5 linked regions of the Oryctolagus cuniculus genome follow. The protein of the gene in region 3 interacts with the protein of the main gene of each other region in a pairwise test. Links are inferred from orthologs where the notes say so. Each region holds a gene or a part of one and is shown on either strand. Other genes may lie near its edges. The genes, in order: KPRP, CRKL, TNS2, SHFL and keratin-associated protein 13-1.

Region 1 (3,987 bases), on a different chromosome or scaffold from region 3:
GGATACAAACAAGGCTCTGAACACTGCCGTGCTGGAGGACGTGGGAGGGGTTCTGGACGTGGACACTGACGTGGGGCAGGACGTGGGCATCGCTGACGTGAGGGCTCCGGACACTGCTCAAGACGGCGTGGAGGACAGGCGCTTGGCAGTGGACGCGGCTCTACACGTGGCCTCAGCTCCGGACAGGAGGCACCCCAGGAGGACTGGGGGGCACAGCTCTGGGAGCAGCCTCTGATGGGGGGAATCCGCACAGGGCACCTCTGTGGGGGAACCTGCCTGGGGCAGCAGGGCGAGGAAATCTCTATGCGGCACTTGGGTCCGCGTCTCTGAGAGCAGCTGGGAGGAGGGCCGCGAGGACAGCGGCTGCCGTAGATGGGTTCAGAGCGGCGGGGTGGGGTGCAGTAGTTGTAGGAGCCGGACGAGCATCTTGATGGCAGGCAGCTGCTGTAACAGGGCCCAGAGCGGCGTGGTGGGGAACAGCTCCGAGGAGAAGGCTGCAGCCGGCGAGGAGGGAGGCACCTGCTGGCACTCTGAGATCGGCGCTGCCCAGTGAAGCTGCCATAGTAGCCCTGGTTCTGACACTGGGGTTCAAAGGAGCTAAACGAAGGCCTTGACTGTCTTTGGGGAGCGCAGCTGCCATAGGAAGCCTGGGACTGGCGCTGGGGGCTGCAGCTACCATAGGAAGCCTGGGACTGGCGCTGGGGAATGCAGCTGCCATAGGAAGCCTGGGACTGGCGCTGGGGGATGCAGCTGCTGTAGGAAGCCTGGGGCTGGCGTTGAGGGGCACAGCTGCTGTATGATCCCCGATACTGGGCCTGGGTGGAGAATCTTCCCTGAGCCTGGTGCACTGGGGGACATTCTACATACGTGTGGACGGGCTGAGGTGCTGCATAGGGTACATAGGTCTGGACTGGGCACTCCACGTAACGTGTTTCTGTATAACAAACTGGAGCACATTCTACATAGCAAGTCTGAATAGGGTGTGGGACTTCACATTGCACATAGGACACCTCCGATTGGCAAGGAGCCTGGCACTGAACACAGGCAACTGGAGCCTGGCCCTTCACCTGGGTGGTCTTAGACTTGCAGGGAGCTTGGCTCTTCACCTGGGTGGTCTTAGACTTGCAGGGAGCCTGGCATTTCACTTCAGTAGTCTTAGCCTGGGATGGAGCCTGGGAAACTTGAACTGGGCATAGCGTGGGGCACTCCACAATTTGCATCTCACAAGGGGCTTGGATCACCATCTGGCTGTTGGCATAGGGGGACTGGCCGTTGGCATAGAAAGAGGAACCCTTGACGCAGCACTGGGGGAGTGGCAGGCAACATTGAATCTGCTGCTGGTCGCACATGGTCCTGATGCAGGCAGGTGAGTGGGATCTGAGGTGGGCAGACCAAGACAAAGAAGATGAGAGTTGGAGAGCAGGGGACAGAACCCCGGGGAGGACACCCTGCATCTTCCTTGATCTTTTCCCCTCCCTCCTCAACCTTCACCCAAGAACGCTTACTGATTTAGGTAAACACGTGATCAGTCCTGACTGTCCGTGAGATCTGCCCTTGGTCTACCAAAGGGCCAGCTTGTGCTCTTCCAGGGTGGCTGGTATCCAGGATCCATCCCTGGAGGGGGGATATACCAGTGTCCAGCACCAGAGGGCACTGAAGACAAAAGAATTCACACTGGTGCACGTCCTAAGTGGAAGAAGCAGCCCTGACTCCCAAGGCTGCAGCCCGAAGTGGGGACTCCACACCCACAGGAGCTTGGATTTCCTCTCACACACATACTGGAAGCACACACATTTGTGCAAACATATTTTTTAAAAGGTGCATGTGGGAACAATCCCTCAGGCACCATCTGCCCTCATATCTCAAAACATCCATGAGAAGGTTAAGGATGCAATCAATTATTGGGCAGCTCCCACTTCACGTTAAATGTTATCTATATTCAGTGTTTTTCACATGTACTCATTAAGATAGATGCCCACACATATGCAAAAGCTTGCACAGACAAAACACACCAGGCTTGAAAGGAATTGAAATCAAAATGGTAACTAGCTCAGGCAGGTTGCAGTTGTCAATAATTTGAAGTGTGGCAGTCTGCTGCCTTGAGAAATGTTCTCTCCCCAGCCGCTGTCAGAGGCACAGCAGTTCCCTAAGATGGGGTGACCTAGAAAACGCAAGGTACTTGATCCCAAGACTGACATTCAGTCACTCTTAAAGATCTGGGCAGCAGGAGCATCATAAACATGGCCTGGGGGATGCTCCACCAGGGAGACACAGGACAGCCTCCACTCTTCTGCACTCATCAAAATCCATGTGTTCCACAGCCCAGCAACCAACAGCAGTGGCTGATTTGACAATTGGTTCATCCAACACCACACCTCTCGATAAACTCCCACATTCTGAAAATGCTTCTAATGAAGCACCTGTAGCGATTATCTCAGAACATACTCCCCTGGAGAGAATCTCCTACCCTCATCTGACTGTTCGTAAGCTGTAAATTACTAGTGCACCTTTTCCAGGTCCTGGGGAGAGAAAACAGCACCCAAGGGTGCAGTCAAGTGTACCAAAGTGAACTACACTGATGCCATAGCCCTAGATCTTCTCATAAGCTCCATAGTTATGCTTCTCAGGTCCCCCAAAAGGTTACCAAGCTTCATCCCCATCCCAATCCCAATCCCAACTCTTAGACTCACCTTTCTCATAGGCACGTAGGCATTCAGGCTAAGGAGTGTTGGCAGAAGGCTGCCTTTATATAAAGGGTTCTGGCCTGGCTTGAGCCATGAGACAACCACTTGGTATCTTCCTGGCTCATCACCCAGGTTGGCATTCCAGCAGCTGGTTGCCTCCCTATATCACCCTATCCCTGCAGTCACCTGCTGAGTGTGGGAGTGTCTCGCCTCAGTGTCGAAGCTTCTGTGCTATGAAGGAGCAGAGTCTTGTTCTCTTTCCCCTCTTCACCCTATCAGCTTTTCCATCCCTACAAGAACTGATGTTGGCAGTGGCAAGGGGTGGCAGAGGAGTATTCTCTCCTGAAAGATAATTCTACCCCCTTCCTTCCACCTTGCCGCACATTTCCACTAGATATTTATAAGAGGGAAACTTCCATAACCTGAAACAGCCAAGATTGCCTCTGTGAGAAGGGTGACTACAGAATGAAGAGAAGGCAGAGTCAGGTCTGAATCCAACATTCCACATCAGCTACTTGCTGCAGCATAATCTCTGTAACCAACAACCAACCTGTTTATTAATTTCCTGCACTATGAAATAGAAATAATTAAGTCTCCTTTGCTGAGCTGCTATGAGGATTAAGGCAATTATTTTATATAAAGCTGCACAGCTAAGAATGATATTTAAAGTATCCAAAATCCTCTCAGAGTAAAAATTGGTCATCAGCCATAAGCATACCTGATCAACAGGTGCCTGCCCCATACCAGTCCTGAGCTCAGCACACTGATGCCTGCATAGCAGGTGCTTAGCTGATGCTACAGAGAAGTCTTTGAAGCAACAGTGTAGGATAGAAGTAATAAACTGCATCCTGTGAGCCAGGTACCATCAAGATGGATATCTTTTATTGGTTTAATATTATATTGATCATTAGTATTAGAAATATGTTTTACTTAAGATTCCAAAAATAAATTTTTTTTTCTAAATCCATAGTCATAGACAAACCCACATTCCATTAATGAGATTAACAACTGCCAGATTTAGATAAGGTATATACTTTCCATTTTATAATGTACCACCAGTCTTTACTACATCTATGATCGAATTCAAAATGTAAATTTCTTAAATTATTTTTCTTCTCTTATTTTTCTTTGTGGAAACTAAGAGGAAACTGAAATAATCCTTAGTGCCTGGATCATTTTATCTGATTATGTCACCTTCCAGCTCTTGTGGGCATTTATTTTTTTTTTTGTTTGTTTGTTTGTTTGTTTTTTAACTTTTATTTAATGAATATAAATTTCCAAAGTACAGCTTATGGATTACAAT
Region 2 (3,515 bases), on a different chromosome or scaffold from region 3:
AAGTCTTTTGGGGAACCTAATGGCAGCCAGGTGTGCTTTAGTAACCTGATGGATTTGTTACTGAGGGAAGAGGTGGGGACTGAATATGTTGGTTTGGCCCTTAGAATCACACAGAATGGGGCCGGTGCTGTGGCTCAGCGGGTTAAAGCTGCGGCGCCAGCATCTCATATGGGGGTTAGTTCCAGTCTGAGGTAGTTTCCAATTCAGCCCCCTACTAATGTGCCTGGGAACGCATATGGGAGACTGGAAGAAGCTCGACCTGACTGTTGGGGCCATTTAGGGAGTGAACCAGTGGATGGAAGATCTTTCTCTCCCTCTCTCTAACTCTACCTTTCAAATAAATAAATCTTTAGGAAAAAAAAAAAAAACTGGAATGAGCAAAGCAAGAGATGTGGAAGGAAGGTGAGGGGTGTATTGCATGTAGGCCAACAGGTGAAAGCTTTTTCTCTCTCAAAATAATGTTTGAGATAAGTTTATTGTAGTGCAACAATTTGAAATCTAGCTTTTTTTTTTTTTTTTTTTTTTTTTTTTTGACAGGCAGAGTGGACAGTGAGAGAGAGACAGAGAGAAAGGTCTTCCTTTGCCATTGGTTCACCCTCCAATGGCCGCCGTGGCCGGCGCGCTGCAGCCGGCGCACCACGCTGTTCCGATGGCAGGAGCCAGGTGCTTCTCCTGGTCTCCCATGGGGTGCAGGGCCCAAGCACTTGGGCCATCCTCCACTGCACTCCCTGGCCACAGGAGAGAGCTGGCCTGGAAGAGGGGCAACCGGGACAGAATCCGGCGCCCCGACCAGGACTAGAACCCGGTGTGCCGGCGCCGCAAGGCGGAGGATTAGCCTAGTGAGCCACGGCACCGGCCCACACCTGATATTTTTAAGACAAACTGCTATTAAGCAGTTTGCCCTTGGTTATAAAATTGTTAATAAGTAACAAGGCCTTTGAAATTTTAAATCAAGCTCCTAATCACCTAATCATTATGACTTATGAAAGTAGTTGTAGTAAAAAGAGATACAAGGTTTTGTTTTTGTTTTTGTTTTAAGATTTATTTTTCCCCTGTGCTGTGTGGCATAGTGGGCTAAGCCTCAGGTGCCGGCATCCCATATGGGCACTGGTCCCAGTCCAGCTCTCTGCTATGGCCTGGGAAAGTAGCAGAAGATCGTGCAAATCCTTGGGCCCCTGCACCTGCATGGGAGACCGGAAGAAGCTCCTGGCTCCTGGCTTCAGATCAGCCTAGCTCTGGCCGTTGCTTTCATTTGGGGAGTAAACCAGCAGATGGGGGAATCTCTCTCTGCCTCTCTGTAACTCTGCCTTTCAAATAAGTAAATAAATCTTAAAAAAAAAAAAAAAAAGTAATGTGGCTGTATATATTTAGGGCCATAATAAATGTTCACGTTCTTTAACCTAGTTATTTGAGTTCTGGGAGTCATAAGTTAAAAAAGTGATAAAGGGAAAATATGCTCAAAGTGTGTGGCATTGACGGCTAAACATGAAGAAACAGTGAACTATCCAGGGGCGCTTCCTTATGTTGTGCTCACAGAATGCTGTGACAGTGGAGGTGGTGGAGGCCAGTGATGTGCAGACACACCTGTGCTGTGATTTTAGGAAGAAAAGCTGCCGCAGTTTTTCTGGAGTGGATGCAGGCTTTGGTGAAGCCCCCTCTTAGTGAGATACAAACTCTGGAGGCACCCCAGCCTAGGGTAGATTCTGGGCTTCAGAAAAGGGGAAGGGGAAGAAACGTTTTTTTCCACTTGGTGGCTTTCCAGCTTTTCAAACCTTGTCTCAGGCGAGGAGAGACTCGTGTTTCTGGTGGGTGTTAGCAGGACTGTGCTTGTGTGGCTGACCCTGGGAGTTCATCCTACATGTCGTTGGGCAGATATTAATATATCTGTAGCCACTGCAAAGCTGCAGTGGTGGCAGCAGACTGACGCTTACATGGGGGCTCTGACCTGTGCGTTTTGCAGTGTAAGTTTCATTGATGCTCATTTTGATGATCAGGTGGTAATTTTATTTTGGTAGACATCTGGTTTTTGTACTTTGAGGGACCAGAGGCAGACCTTTCTCATCTTTTCTCTGTGTAGCCAGGGAAATGTGCAGGATGTGTCATTAAATTAGGACTGGGAGAAAGAATTTGTGGCATTTGTGACAAAGTCCAATGGAAGGCAGCTACTGAACTTAAGATTTTAAAAATAAATTAAGATTGGGTATCAGCTGGCACCCTGGGTTCTAGTCCCGGTCGGGGCACCGGATTCTGTCTGGTTGCCCCTCTTCCAGTCTAGCTCTCTGCTGTGGCCCAGGAGTGCAGTGGAGGATGGCCCAGGTCTTTGGGCCCTGCACCCGCATGGGAGACTGGGAGGAAGCATCTGGCTCCCGGCTTTGGATCAGCGCAGCGCGCTGACCATAGCAGCCACTTGGTGGGTGAACCAACGGAAAAAGGAAGACCTTTCTTTCTCTCTCTCTCTCACTAACTCTGTCCAAAAAAAAAAAAAAAAAAAAAATTGGGTATCTATATGTAAACAAAAACTTATAAAGCAGATGTGGTGTGTATATACATTTGACATGTAATTTGAAAAGGCATACTCAGGATATTGACTTTCATTAAAGACTACAGAAAGTACAATCTGAAAGAACCTTCTTACTCCTGAGAATAAATATAGAGAAATAATTCATTATGGAGGAGTGTGGTTTATTAAAAAATTTGATAGGGACCAGCATTGTGGCATAGTGGGCTAAGTTTTTACCTGCAGCACTGGCATCTCATATGGGCTGTGGTTCTAGTCCTGCCTGCTCTTTTTCTGGTCCAGCTCTCTGCTGTGGCCTGGGAAAGCAGTGGAAGATGGCCCAAGTGCTGGGGCCCCTGCACCCCATGGGAGACCTATAGGAAGCTCCTGGCTCTTGACTTCAGATTGGTCCAGTTCTGGCCGTTGTGGCCATTTGGGAGTGAACCAGTGGATGGAAGACCTTTCTCACTGTCTCTCTCTCTCTCTCTGTAACTCTACCTCTAAAATGAATAAAATCTTAAAAAAAAAAAAAAAAAGTTTGATGACACTGGTAAGATTTTTCTCCTAATTTTCTTTCTCTCTTAAGGTATCCAAGCCCACAAATGGGATCTGTCTCGGCACCCAACCTGCCTACAGCAGAAGAAAATCTGGAATATGTACGGACTCTCTATGATTTTCCTGGGAATGATGCTGAAGACCTGCCTTTTAAAAAAGGTGAGATCCTGGTGATAGTAGAGAAGCCTGAAGAACAGTGGTGGAGCGCCCGGAACAAGGATGGTCGGGTCGGGATGATCCCTGTTCCTTATGTTGAAAAGCTCGTGAGATCCTCGCCACACGGAAAGCACGGAAATAGGAATTCCAATAGCTATGGGATCCCAGAACCTGCTCATGCGTATGCTCAACCTCAGACCACAACTCCTCTACCTGCAGTTTCCAGTACTCCTGGGGCAGCCATCAACCCCTTGCCATCCACACAGAATGGACCTGTCTTTGCGAAAGCAATCCAGAAAAGAGTGCC
Region 3 (3,515 bases):
CCTCCGCCTGCCCCGCCCCTCCCCCCCAGGAGCTTCAGCCTGGACCCTCTCATGGAGCGGCGCTGGGACCTGGACCTCACCTATGTGACGGAGCGCATACTGGCCGCCGCCTTTCCTGCGCGGCCGGACGAGCAGCGACACCGGGGCCACCTGCGCGAGCTGGCCCACGTGCTGCAATCCAAGCACCGCGACAAGTACCTGGTGAGGGGCGGGGCCTTCCGGGGTCAGCCAATGAGAGGGCTAGGAGGCTGCTCACCGACGTCCAACCAGCGGAGGCGAGGCCTCCGGAGGGCGGAGCCAAAGTGGTAGGGGCGGGGCCTGGAGGGCCGACACCCACCCACCCAGGCCAGGACTTCAAAACCTTATTTTATTTATTTATTTACTAATTTATTTTGAGGATTTTAGTTATTTATTTGAAAAGCAGAATGACAGAGAGATCTTCCATCCACCTGCTCACTCCCCTAAAGCCAGGAGCCAGTAGCTCCTTCTCCCCCCGCCTCCCCCCCATCTCCCTTGTGGGTGGCTGGGATCCCAGGGACTTGGGCCACCTCTGCTGCCTCCCAGGACGGGCTCCCAGGCCCCCGTGCTCTATGCCCTGCTGGCTGTCTAAAGTGTCCCCTTTTGTTTCAGCTCTTCAACCTCTCAGAGAAAAGGCATGATCTAACCCGCCTGAACCCCAAGGTAGGCGGAAACGTCCTGCACCGCCCCCATGGGCCTGCCAGCCCCAGGGCAGCGCTGGGCTTGTTACTGGACACACCCCCACAACGTGGTGCGGCAGCCATCAGACCAGTGTAGGGGTGGCTGCACTGCACAAGAGCCTCCGACCTGGTCCCTTCCCACACCCCTACCCGCCCATCTCCGTGTGCACACACTGTACCCCCACACCCCACCCCGTCTCTGTGTGCACACACACTGCACCCCACCCCACCCCCAGGTCCAGGACTTCGGCTGGCCCGAGCTGCACGCCCCACCCCTGGACAAGCTCTGCTCCATCTGCAAAGCCATGGAGACCTGGCTCAGCGCTGACGCACAGCACGTGGTCGTGCTGTACTGCAAGGTGGGCGGCCACCTGGGGCTCCCAGGGATGGGTGCCCTGCCCCCACCTGGAGCCCCAGCAGGCCCTCCAGCCCAGCCTTCCTGTCCCTCTCTCCCAGGGGAGCAAGGGCAAGCTCGGGGTCATCGTGTCTGCCTACATGCACTACAGCAAGATCTCGGCAGGGTGAGCTCCCCTCTCCTACCAGCCCTGTCTTCTGAACGCCTCTGCCCGGGAGCCCACCTCTATCCGGAGAGCCTACTACTCAAAACGCGTCATTTCCACCTTCCTTTTCTTGCCTGTGCGGGACCCCAGGCCCCAGCAGATGCCCTGTGCTGGCCACCAACCGGCCAGCTTAGACCAATAGAGATGGATGGGCTCGCGGTGCCCAAGGCTGGGCGCCCAGCCCGAGGTGCCTGCAGGGGTATGCTCCCTCTGGGACTCTGGGTAGAAACCCTTCCTGCATCCGTCAAAGGCTACTCCCCCTCCCTGTGTGTCTGTCTCTCTGTTTCTTCTCTTCTTATAAGGACTCCAATGATCTCCTCTTAACTAATTACGTCTGCAATGATCCCATTTCCAAATAAAGTCACATCCTGAGGTACCTATCTTCTGGCGGGGAGGGGGGATACAATGCAACCCATGGTGTGGTCTCATCAGCCCATTTTACAGACAAGGAGACTGAAGTGCTGGGTACAACTGCCTGAGGCGCAGCGGAGTGACTGTTGCATGGGGCTCCTGGCTCTATTGCCCACCACACTGGGCTGCCTCTAGACTTTGGGTGGGGGCATCCCCAGCTCTCCTCTGTCCCCTGGGGCTTGAGGCCAGGATGCAGGGCAGCCCCTAAAAGCCCACACCGACCCCGCTGTCCCCAGGGCAGACCAGGCACTGGCTACTCTCACCATGCGGAAATTCTGTGAGGACAAGGTGACCACAGAGCTGCAGCCCTCCCAGCGCCGGTGAGCAGCCTGGGTGGGGATGGGCCGGCGGGGCAGCCCCTACCACGGCCGCCAAGGCCACGGGAGCTCGGCACGGACAAGCAGCTGCTTACACCCTAGTGGGGTAGGAGGCAGGGGCGCGGGAGCGAGAGGCAGAGATCTGGTTAACAGCTTGCCAGGCAGGTGCACCACTTTTAGGCCAGCAACAGGGACCCAGGCTGGCGATACAGAACTTCCTGGGGCCCTGGAAGCTGGGAGGGATGCGCTAAGGAGAAAGGCGAGCCTGGTGGGGGGGGGGGTGGCAGCAGGGACCTCCGGAGGAAGGGCTTAGGTGGTCTTTGTCCCCCACCCTCCCCCCCAGGTATATCAGCTACTTCAGCGGGCTGCTGTCCGGCTCCATCCGGATGAACAGCAGCCCCCTATTCCTGCACCACGTGCTGGTGCCCATGCTGCCAGCCTTCGAACCCGGCACAGGTGAGTCCGCCCGCGAGGGACCCCTGGAGAAGAGTCCCCACCCCCTCCACTCAGGACCTCTTACATGCCTCCTCCTGTGTGCCCCCAGGCTTCCAGCCCTTCCTCAAGATCTACCAGTCCATGCAGCTCGTCTACACGTCGGGAGTCTAGTGAGTGCTCCGCCCCCCAGGCCCCCTGCCTCCTACACGGCCAGCGCCTCTGCTGCCCCCTGTCAGTGGGTTCCTGCTCCAAGAGCCTCTCCAGACACCTGGGCTTCCAGCTCCAGCCACTGCACTTGGAAGGCAATACCCCCGTGGAATCCATTTCACAGATGGGGAAAGCTGAGGCCCGGGGTAGAATCTGAGCTCCCCAGCTCCCTGCTGCCTCTGACTCGGCTCTGCCTTCTCCCTTGTCCGCAGCCACATTGCAGGCCCTGGGCCTCCGCAGATCTGCATCAGCCTGGAGCCAGCCCTCCTTCTCAAAGGCGACGTCATGGTGAGGGTCCCAGCAGCAAGCAGAGACCCCCGGGATCCCCGGTTGAGGATGGGGGTGGGGTGGGGGTGGGGGCGAGTCCTGCCAGCTGCGCGGGTCCCCTGGAGGTGGCAGAAGGGCAGAAGCCGCGGTCTGGCCGCCAGAGGGCGCCTGACCCCTGGCCTCCCCTCCCCCAGGTCACTTGCTATCACAGGAGCGGCCGGGGCACCGACCGCAGCCTGGTCTTCCGAGTCCAGTTCCACACCTGCACCATCCACGGCCCGCGGCTCAGCTTCCCCAAGGACCAGCTGGACGAGGCCTGGGCGGGTGAGTGAAGGGGCGGCCAGAGCCGCGGCAGGTGCGAGAGGGTGGAGCGGGCCAGGGCCTGGATCCTCACCCCCTGCTCCCCACAGACGAGAGGTTCCCCTTCCAAGCCTCCGTGGAGTTTGTCTTCTCCTCCAGCCCCGAGAAGATCAAAGGTAAAGGGGGAGGGGAGTGCGGGGTGGGGATGGGAGTGGGGGGCGTGCGGGAGGCGGGGGCCTGGCTCTCCCGGGCTCCCAGACATCCAGGCGGGCCTTTCCACAGGCAGCACCCCACGGAACGACCCCTCGGTCTCTGTGGAC
Region 4 (4,225 bases), on a different chromosome or scaffold from region 3:
AAAAAAAAAAATTATTATTACAGAGGTCTTCCATCTGCTGATTCACTTCCCAGATACCTGCAGCAGCCAGGGCTGGGCCAGGCAGAAGCCAAGAGCTGGGAACTCCATCCGAGTCTCCCTCGTGGGTGACAGGGGCGTGCCTGTTGTAGGATTGATGAATCCTATGGTAGGCATATTTTTAACTTAATAATTGATTTTATTTATTTGAAAGACAGAGATCTCCCATGCGCTGGTTCCCTCCCCAAATGCCTACAACATCCAACACTGGACCAGACCAAAACCAGGAGCCAGGAGCTCCCTCCAGGTCTCCCCCAGAGGTGTTAGGAGCCCCGTGCACCTGCCATCTCCTGGTGCCTCCCAGGGTGCGCATCAGCAGGGCACTGGAGTCGGGAGCTGGGATTCAAACCCTGGCACTCGAAGATGGGATGCCAGCGTCCCAGGCGGCAGCAAAACCTCTGTGCCCAACACCGCCCTGTGTTCCAGCAGTGTCCGGAGGCCACTTCTGAGGAGGGCCACGACTCCGGTGGCATCTAGGGCATGGGGGCCGGGGACAGATCCCCATCGCAAAGAGCTACTGGCCCAAAGTGTCCGCAGCTCTGTGCAGGCGGCTGAGAAAACGCAGTTGCTTCTTTCACCTGACTCCATCCTCACCAGCTATGACCTCAAACTTCTGGGGCTCTGTCCAAGCAGGAGATGATGTCCCCAGGCCGAGGGTCCCAGCTAAAGGCTCCCCAGGCCCCTCTGCTGGGGCCCCATGGGCCCCTCAACCGCCCGATTGAGAATGCAGATTCCAAAGCAAGCATTTGGCTTGAGAGGGTTAACGGGACACATGAGAGGCCTGCATGGCATGAGCTGAACTCCTGGGCTCTGATCCAGGTCCCAGTTCCCACTATAGCACAGCCCTGGGAGGCAGCAGGTGGTGGCTCAAGCACTTGGGTCCCTGCCACCCACGTGGGAGACCCGGATTGAGATGCCTGCTCCTGGCTTCGGCCTGACCCAGGCATTTAGGGAGTCCACCAGCAAATGGGAATGCACTCTCTCTCTTTATCTCTGCCAGCCAAATAAATAAAACTTTTAAAAAATAAAATGCACATTTCTAAAGCGCCCCCCAAAAGCTGGGGCCCATCACCCTGTGTTTTTCACAAGCACCTATGGATCATTCCCATTTTACAGAGCGATAAACTGAGGATCAGAAACGTCACAGTGGCCTGTCAGGAACTCAACAGCAGGGGAGGAGGGACCCCCCCCCACAAACCCCCCCAGGTCCTAACAAGCGCCCGGTCCGTGGGAGCGCACGCGGGGAGTGGGGGGCGCGGGGACCCGCCGCTGCCTTCGGAGGCGGCCCCGCCCCCACGGGGGACGTGAAGACGCGGCCCCCGCGCAGCGTGGGGACATGTGACCGACTGCAGAGGCCGCGCCGCCTCCCCCGCCCGAGGTGCGCGCGCCCCGCCGCAGGGCGCAGACCCCGCGCGCCCGCCTGGGTTTGGGGCGCAAGTGCAGAGGCGGAGCCGGGGCGGAGCCAGCGCACCCGTTCCCCACTTCGGAACCGAAAGCGAAACACCGGGCCCGGGCAGAAGGGCGGAGCCGGCCGCGAGACCCCGCCCCCTGCCCTGCGCGGCGGCCGGACCGACGGGCGCGCCCAGCGAGGAGGGCGGCTGAGCCACGCAGTGCGGACCCTCGCGGGGACCTGCGCGCCACCACCATGTCTCAGGAAGGTGTGGAGGTAGGCGATGGCCACGGCCGCGAGCCGAGGGGCCCGCGGCAGGCGCCGAGGGGGGCCCGGGGGCGCCGAGGGGGCTCCGCAGTTCCTGGGGGACCCCCATCCGCATCCCATCCCATGCTCAGGGCGAGCGCCCGGGCCCCCTCGGAGAGGAGCGCGCCGCTCACGTCCCCCGCCTCCGGAGCGAAGCGCGGCCTCCCCCCGAGGAGAAGCGGGGGCTGCGGGGTCAGGGGTCAGACCCAGGCCTTACCTGTGCGCCCCGCCCGCAGGCTGGGACCCGCGCCCGCCATCCGCTCCCACCCCCAGACCCTGTAGGGACTTGGGGGTTGTGCAGGAAATGTCGTGGAGAGATGGTGGGAAGGGGGGAGGGGGCGGAGGCCAAAACCAAGGCTAAAGTTCAGGCCCCAGGAATGTTACCTGGAGTTGGGGGAGGGGCGGCGGCTCGTCCCTCCCCCCCCCACCGGAGCCCACCTGTCCCCCCCCCCCCCCCCCGTCCCAGTTGGAGAAGAGCGTCCGGCGCCTCCGGGAGAAGTTTCATGGGAAGGTGTCGCCCAAGAAGGCCGGGGCTCTGATGAGGAAATTCGGCAGCGACCACACCGGCGTGGGTCGCTCCATCGTGTACGGTGAGCGCGCGGGGGTCCCCGGCCGGCGCCGAGGGGGCGTGGCGCGGGAGGGCCCAGCCGCGGGAGGGTCTAGCCGCGGGAGGGTCTGGGCGGCGCAGGCCGCTCAGGGGCCCTGTCTTATCCCGCCAGGGGTAAAGCAGAAGGACGGACAGGAGCTCAGTAATGACCTGGACGCGCAGGTAACCTGTCCCCTGGCCTCCAAGGTCGGGGTACCGGGCGGGAGAGCCGGGGGGACCCTCTGGAGCGAGCAGGGCTGGCCACACACAGCACCTTCCTCAATCATCGGCTGGGCCAGGGAGCCTGCAAACAGTAGGTGCTCATTAAGTGCTGATTGTGTTCCATGGAGCGGAGCGGACGCCGCCATTGGTGCCAGGGAGCCCAGGAAGTCAGGGAAGACTCCCTGGAGGAGGTGATGCAAAGCCTTGACAGGGAGGAGTGAGCCCTGGAATGGAAAAGCAGGGGAGGGGGTGACAGGTAGCATAGGCTGGGAGAGAAGAGGGGGAACTGACCCCAGAAGAGGCGGGAAGGGGGAAGCGGCTAGGGCGTCCTTGTGTTGAACGAATGAATGAGTGATGACTGGCTTTGTGTGGGAATGGCTGGATCTCACCTACCTGGAGATAAAGTGCGCATCCTAATCTTTATAGGCATAAAGCATGTGATAGAAATAATCACAGAGGGTAATCATTGACCCGGCACTTCCCCGAGGGGCCAGGTTCCAGGAACTGACTTGTTTGATCACCACACGAGCCAGGACCCATTATTGATCAGCCCATTTTACAGACCAGTACTGAGGCACGGTGGTGAAGTCATGCTTTCTCCAGGGGCCCCGGGGGGACGAGTGGTTTGCCCACGTTCTCACAGCCGGAAGTGCCAAAGCCAGGACTTGAACCTGTGTCTGTTCAAATCCAGAGCCCCAAGCACTAGCCGAAAGCGACGGGGCCTCAAATAGGTGGCGAGCTGGTGTTTAGCGCGAGGCGGAATGCCTGGTTGGAGTCCGGCTCCGCCTCTTCCGGTCCAGCTTCCTGCCATGGGCACGCTGGGAGGCGACAGGGATGGTTGAAGAGCTTGGGCCCCTACCGCCCACATGGGAGACCCCGATGGAGCTCCAGGCTCCCTGCTTCGGCCTGGCCCAGCCCTGGCTTTTGCGGGCGTTAGGATGATCTCGGGCAAGCCCTCCCCTGCCTCTGGGCCTCAGTTTCCCCATATGAGCAATGGCGAGAACAGGTGCGCCCACCTGTCGGGGCTAACGGAATGGCTAAGGGAAGCCATGTACCTGCTCCTTGCTGGCTGTGCACCTGCTCTGAGCTCTGGGAGGCCCCTCCCCCAGCAAAGGCGGGTAAAGGGGAGACCCGAGTGCCTGCCCCAGTTTCTGCCCCTGGCGTCTCCACGCAGGACCCCCCAGAGGACATGAAGCAGGACCGAGACATCCAGGTGAGTTGGCAGCTGGGCAGGGGGACCCGTGTGGGGGTGGCGGCAGACGTGTGCAAGGCAGAGGACGGTGACCCCTGTCCCCACCCTGCCCGTCCCGCAGGCCGTGGCCACCTCCCTCCTGCCGCTGACGGAGGCCAACCTGCGCATGTTCCAGCGGGCCCAGGATGACCTAATCCCTGCCGTGGACAGGCAGTTCGCCTGTTCCTCCTGCGACCACGTCTGGTGGCGCCGTGTGCCCCAGCGGAAGGAGGTGACCGCCTAAAACTTGACCTTGGTTTCTGTCCTGAACGCCACTCCTGACCCCTGACCTCTGACCTCCGAGCTTGACCCGCATCCCACCGGCTGACCTGCAGCTGCACTTCTGACCTCCGACCCCGCTGGTTGCGAATTGAACTTGACTCCAAAGCCACAACCCTAAATGTGGCGTCCAGGTTCCCCTGGGAGAAAGCAG
Region 5 (2,742 bases), on a different chromosome or scaffold from region 3:
TATATATGGAGGAAAAATTGGAAGATGAGATGTCCTTGGAAATTTTCAGATATCTTTCAAAATTTTGATGTGAGAGTTTATAGATGTTTATAGGGAGGGTAACCATAGGACATTTTACAAAATAAATGCCAAGAATTAGATCCATTTTGAAAAAAATATTCATTAATTTTCTGTTGCTATAACCAACTGTGTGAAGTAACTGATTTGTGAAGAAAATAGGTTTATTTAACTCACAGTTCTGGAAACCCAGGAGCATGGTACCAGCTTCCGCTTGATTCTGGTAACTGTCTCATGGCATCATGCAGAGTGTGTGTGAGTGACCACACGAGGGGCAGAGAATCAGAGACGGGAAAGGAGCCAGTCTTGCTCTTTTTATAACACTTTACTTTCATGAGAACTAATCAGGGTCCTACAAGAACTTCCAAAGACAGCACCCGCAATGATCTTCCACTAGCACACCCTTATCAACGTTTCCTCCACCTCCCAACTGCTGCACTGGAGATGGAGCTTCCAGCGCAAGAACCCCTGGGGAGCATTCTCAAACCATATTAAACCAGAGAAAACAGTTTTGAAGACTTAAATGAGGTTGGACCATCCATCCCCAGGGTTTGGGCTCAGGAAAATCCTGCCTTTCCCTCTGCTATTGCTCCTTGTTTCCTATCTCATCTAAATCACATCTACTACATTTTTTCCCTATGCTTACATCCATATCATTCTCTTTTTTGTTTTCACATCATTTTTCTGAATAGTAAATTTGTTCTATATGTTTGTGCAAGATGCTGTTCATTCCTGGTCATCTCTCAATTCCTTTGCCTTGGTTTTATGTGGCATATCTAGACTAAACATAGTAAACACTGATGATAAGTAACAGATGGAAATTATATTGGAGGATTTGAAACAACGCTTTGATGGTGAGGGAGTCTTTAAAAGGTTCCTTATTAAGACCAGATTTCTTCCTCTCAGTCAAGGACCAAGAGGGAGATGGCTGCTTTACAGTCCTCACCCTAGGAAGAAAGAATTCTCCAGCCCAAACAGGAGCAGATTTACATGTCATAGCCTGGGAAAAAACAGGGGCTTTCCTGGCTGTGATGGAGTAGACACTAATTACATACAGTCATAGCATTTATAGCATAAGTGTATTTCACTGACACAGAGCTGTAAAAACAAAAGGAGTTCACCCATAAATACAACATGAAGGGTGTTAGTTTGCTGCAATTACAAAGAAGTTTTACTGAGTGACGTATATGCAAATGAGGGAGTCTAACTATGGAAAAGATGACATTGTAAGTAAAGGGCCACACCCATTGCTGAGAGCATATAAATGTCCCAGTGACAAGTGACATCCAAACTCAGAACCTTCTCCCACCTCCAGTCACCATGCCCTACAACTGCTGCTCTGGAAACTCCTTCTCTCAGTCCTTTGGGGGCTACCTGCGCTACCCAAGGTCTTCCTGTGGCTCTTCCTACCCAAACAACTCGTTCTACAGTGCAGGACTCCAATGTCCCAGCACATGTCAGCCGGGCTCCTCTTTGTACAGTGGCTGTCAGGAGCCTGGCTGTGAGCCCACCAGCTGCCAGACTTCCTATGTGGTGTCCAGCCCCTGCCAGACGTCCTGCTACCGCCGGAGGACCTCCACACTCTGCAATCCCTGCAGGACAATTTACACGGGGTCTCAGGGCTTTGGATCCAGCAGCTGCAACTCCCTGGGCTGTGGATCTAGAAGCTCCTATTCCCTGAGCTGTGGACCAAGGAGCTGCCACTCCTCAGGCTGCGGATCCAGTGGTTTCAGACCCCTGGGTTATAGAGTCCATGGCTTTCCTTCACTGGGTTATGGATCTGGGTTCTGCCGCCCATCCTGCTCAGCCTCTAGGACCTGCCAGTCTTCTTGTTTCCAGCCAACCTGTTGGTCTGGATCCGGCGTCTGTTGATCATCTTATTAAGTTTCTAACGCCATTGACCAATGTCTTTAATGCCTCTATTAATAATTGTTATAGTCTTCCTATTTAGCTTCCTATTTTCTGATTATCAGTTTCTCACCCTGTCTCTGGCATCAAATCCTGGCTGACAGACTTCATCTGAAAATCTGTAATTTGTGTACTAACTCAAAATAAAGTCTAAAGTCTTCATTGGAGATAAAATTTATGTTATAGGATAACTACTCATTATTGTTTGAAAAAACAAATTTTTACTCAATAAATGCATTGATTCTGATTTAAATCTATATTAGATTTGTTTCATTATTTATTTGGTTCTAAAATATTAAAGAAATCATTATGAAATTATCAATGTATCTATACAGATTGGTTTTGAAAATCAATGAGGTGAGGGGCCAGCACTGTGGCATAGTGGGTAAAGCTGCCACCTGCAGGGCAGGCATCCCATATGGACGCCGGTTTGAGTCCCAGTTGCTCCACTTCCGATCCAGCTCTCTGCTATGGCCTGGGAAAGCTGGAGAAGATGGCCCAAATCCTTGGGCCCCTGCTCCCATGTGGGAGAGCTGGAAGAATCTCCTGGCTCCTGGCTTAGGATCGGCTCAGCTCCAACCATTGTGGCCATTTGGGGAGTGAACCAGCAGAGGAAGACCTATCTCTCTCTTCCTCTGCCTCTCTGTAACTCTGCCTTTCAAATAAATAAAGAAATCTTTAAAAAAAAATCAATGAGGTGAGTAAACTGACCAAACTTTTGGAGGCCTCAGATATTTTTATTACTCAAACTACAGGTAGGGGTTGACGTTGTGGCAC

The links.
Region 1: the proteins of TNS2 (region 3) and KPRP interact in binary tests that used the Homo sapiens proteins (3 or more experiments, as listed by UniProt). The two-hybrid records come from large-scale screens. The link is inferred for Oryctolagus cuniculus from reciprocal best matches to the Homo sapiens genes TNS2 and KPRP.
Region 2: the proteins of TNS2 (region 3) and CRKL interact in a two-hybrid assay, tested with the Homo sapiens proteins (2 studies listed by BioGRID and IntAct). The link is inferred for Oryctolagus cuniculus from reciprocal best matches to the Homo sapiens genes TNS2 and CRKL.
Region 4: the proteins of TNS2 (region 3) and SHFL interact in binary tests that used the Homo sapiens proteins (3 or more experiments, as listed by UniProt). The link is inferred for Oryctolagus cuniculus from reciprocal best matches to the Homo sapiens genes TNS2 and SHFL.
Region 5: the proteins of TNS2 (region 3) and keratin-associated protein 13-1 interact in a two-hybrid assay, tested with the Homo sapiens proteins (2 studies listed by BioGRID). The two-hybrid records come from large-scale screens. The link is inferred for Oryctolagus cuniculus from reciprocal best matches to the Homo sapiens genes TNS2 and KRTAP13-1.

Annotation. Positions count from the first base shown.
Region 1 is NC_091438.1:45,508,176-45,512,162, forward strand, and holds the start of KPRP (keratinocyte proline-rich protein), read right to left. Parts: upstream 2,808-3,987; 5' UTR 2,691-2,807; intron 1,615-2,690; exon of another isoform or gene 1,506-1,614; intron 1,378-1,505; 5' UTR 1,350-1,377; coding exon 1-1,349.
Region 2 is NC_091452.1:29,687,248-29,690,762, forward strand, and holds part of CRKL (crk-like protein), read left to right. Parts: intron 1-3,083; coding exon 3,084-3,515. UniProt on the Homo sapiens protein: May mediate the transduction of intracellular signals.
Region 3 is NC_091442.1:56,117,580-56,121,094, forward strand, and holds part of TNS2 (tensin-2), read left to right. Parts: intron 1-29; coding exon 30-201; intron 202-630; coding exon 631-681; intron 682-934; coding exon 935-1,057; intron 1,058-1,154; coding exon 1,155-1,219; intron 1,220-1,905; coding exon 1,906-1,989; intron 1,990-2,329; coding exon 2,330-2,442; intron 2,443-2,530; coding exon 2,531-2,591; intron 2,592-2,840; coding exon 2,841-2,916; intron 2,917-3,089; coding exon 3,090-3,219; intron 3,220-3,305; coding exon 3,306-3,371; intron 3,372-3,477; coding exon 3,478-3,515. UniProt on the Homo sapiens protein: Tyrosine-protein phosphatase which regulates cell motility, proliferation and muscle-response to insulin. Phosphatase activity is mediated by binding to phosphatidylinositol-3,4,5-triphosphate (PtdIns(3,4,5)P3) via the SH2 domain.
Region 4 is NC_091447.1:67,206,270-67,210,494, reverse strand, and holds the start of SHFL (shiftless antiviral inhibitor of ribosomal frameshifting protein), read left to right. Parts: upstream 1-1,418; 5' UTR 1,419-1,702; coding exon 1,703-1,723; intron 1,724-2,219; coding exon 2,220-2,343; intron 2,344-2,472; coding exon 2,473-2,522; intron 2,523-3,735; coding exon 3,736-3,774; intron 3,775-3,874; coding exon 3,875-4,024; intron 4,025-4,225.
Region 5 is NC_091435.1:14,994,600-14,997,341, reverse strand, and holds keratin-associated protein 13-1, read left to right. Parts: upstream 1-1,348; 5' UTR 1,349-1,377; coding exon 1,378-1,929; 3' UTR 1,930-2,230; downstream 2,231-2,742. UniProt on the Homo sapiens protein: In the hair cortex, hair keratin intermediate filaments are embedded in an interfilamentous matrix, consisting of hair keratin-associated proteins (KRTAP), which are essential for the formation of a rigid and resistant hair shaft through their extensive disulfide bond cross-linking with abundant cysteine residues of hair keratins.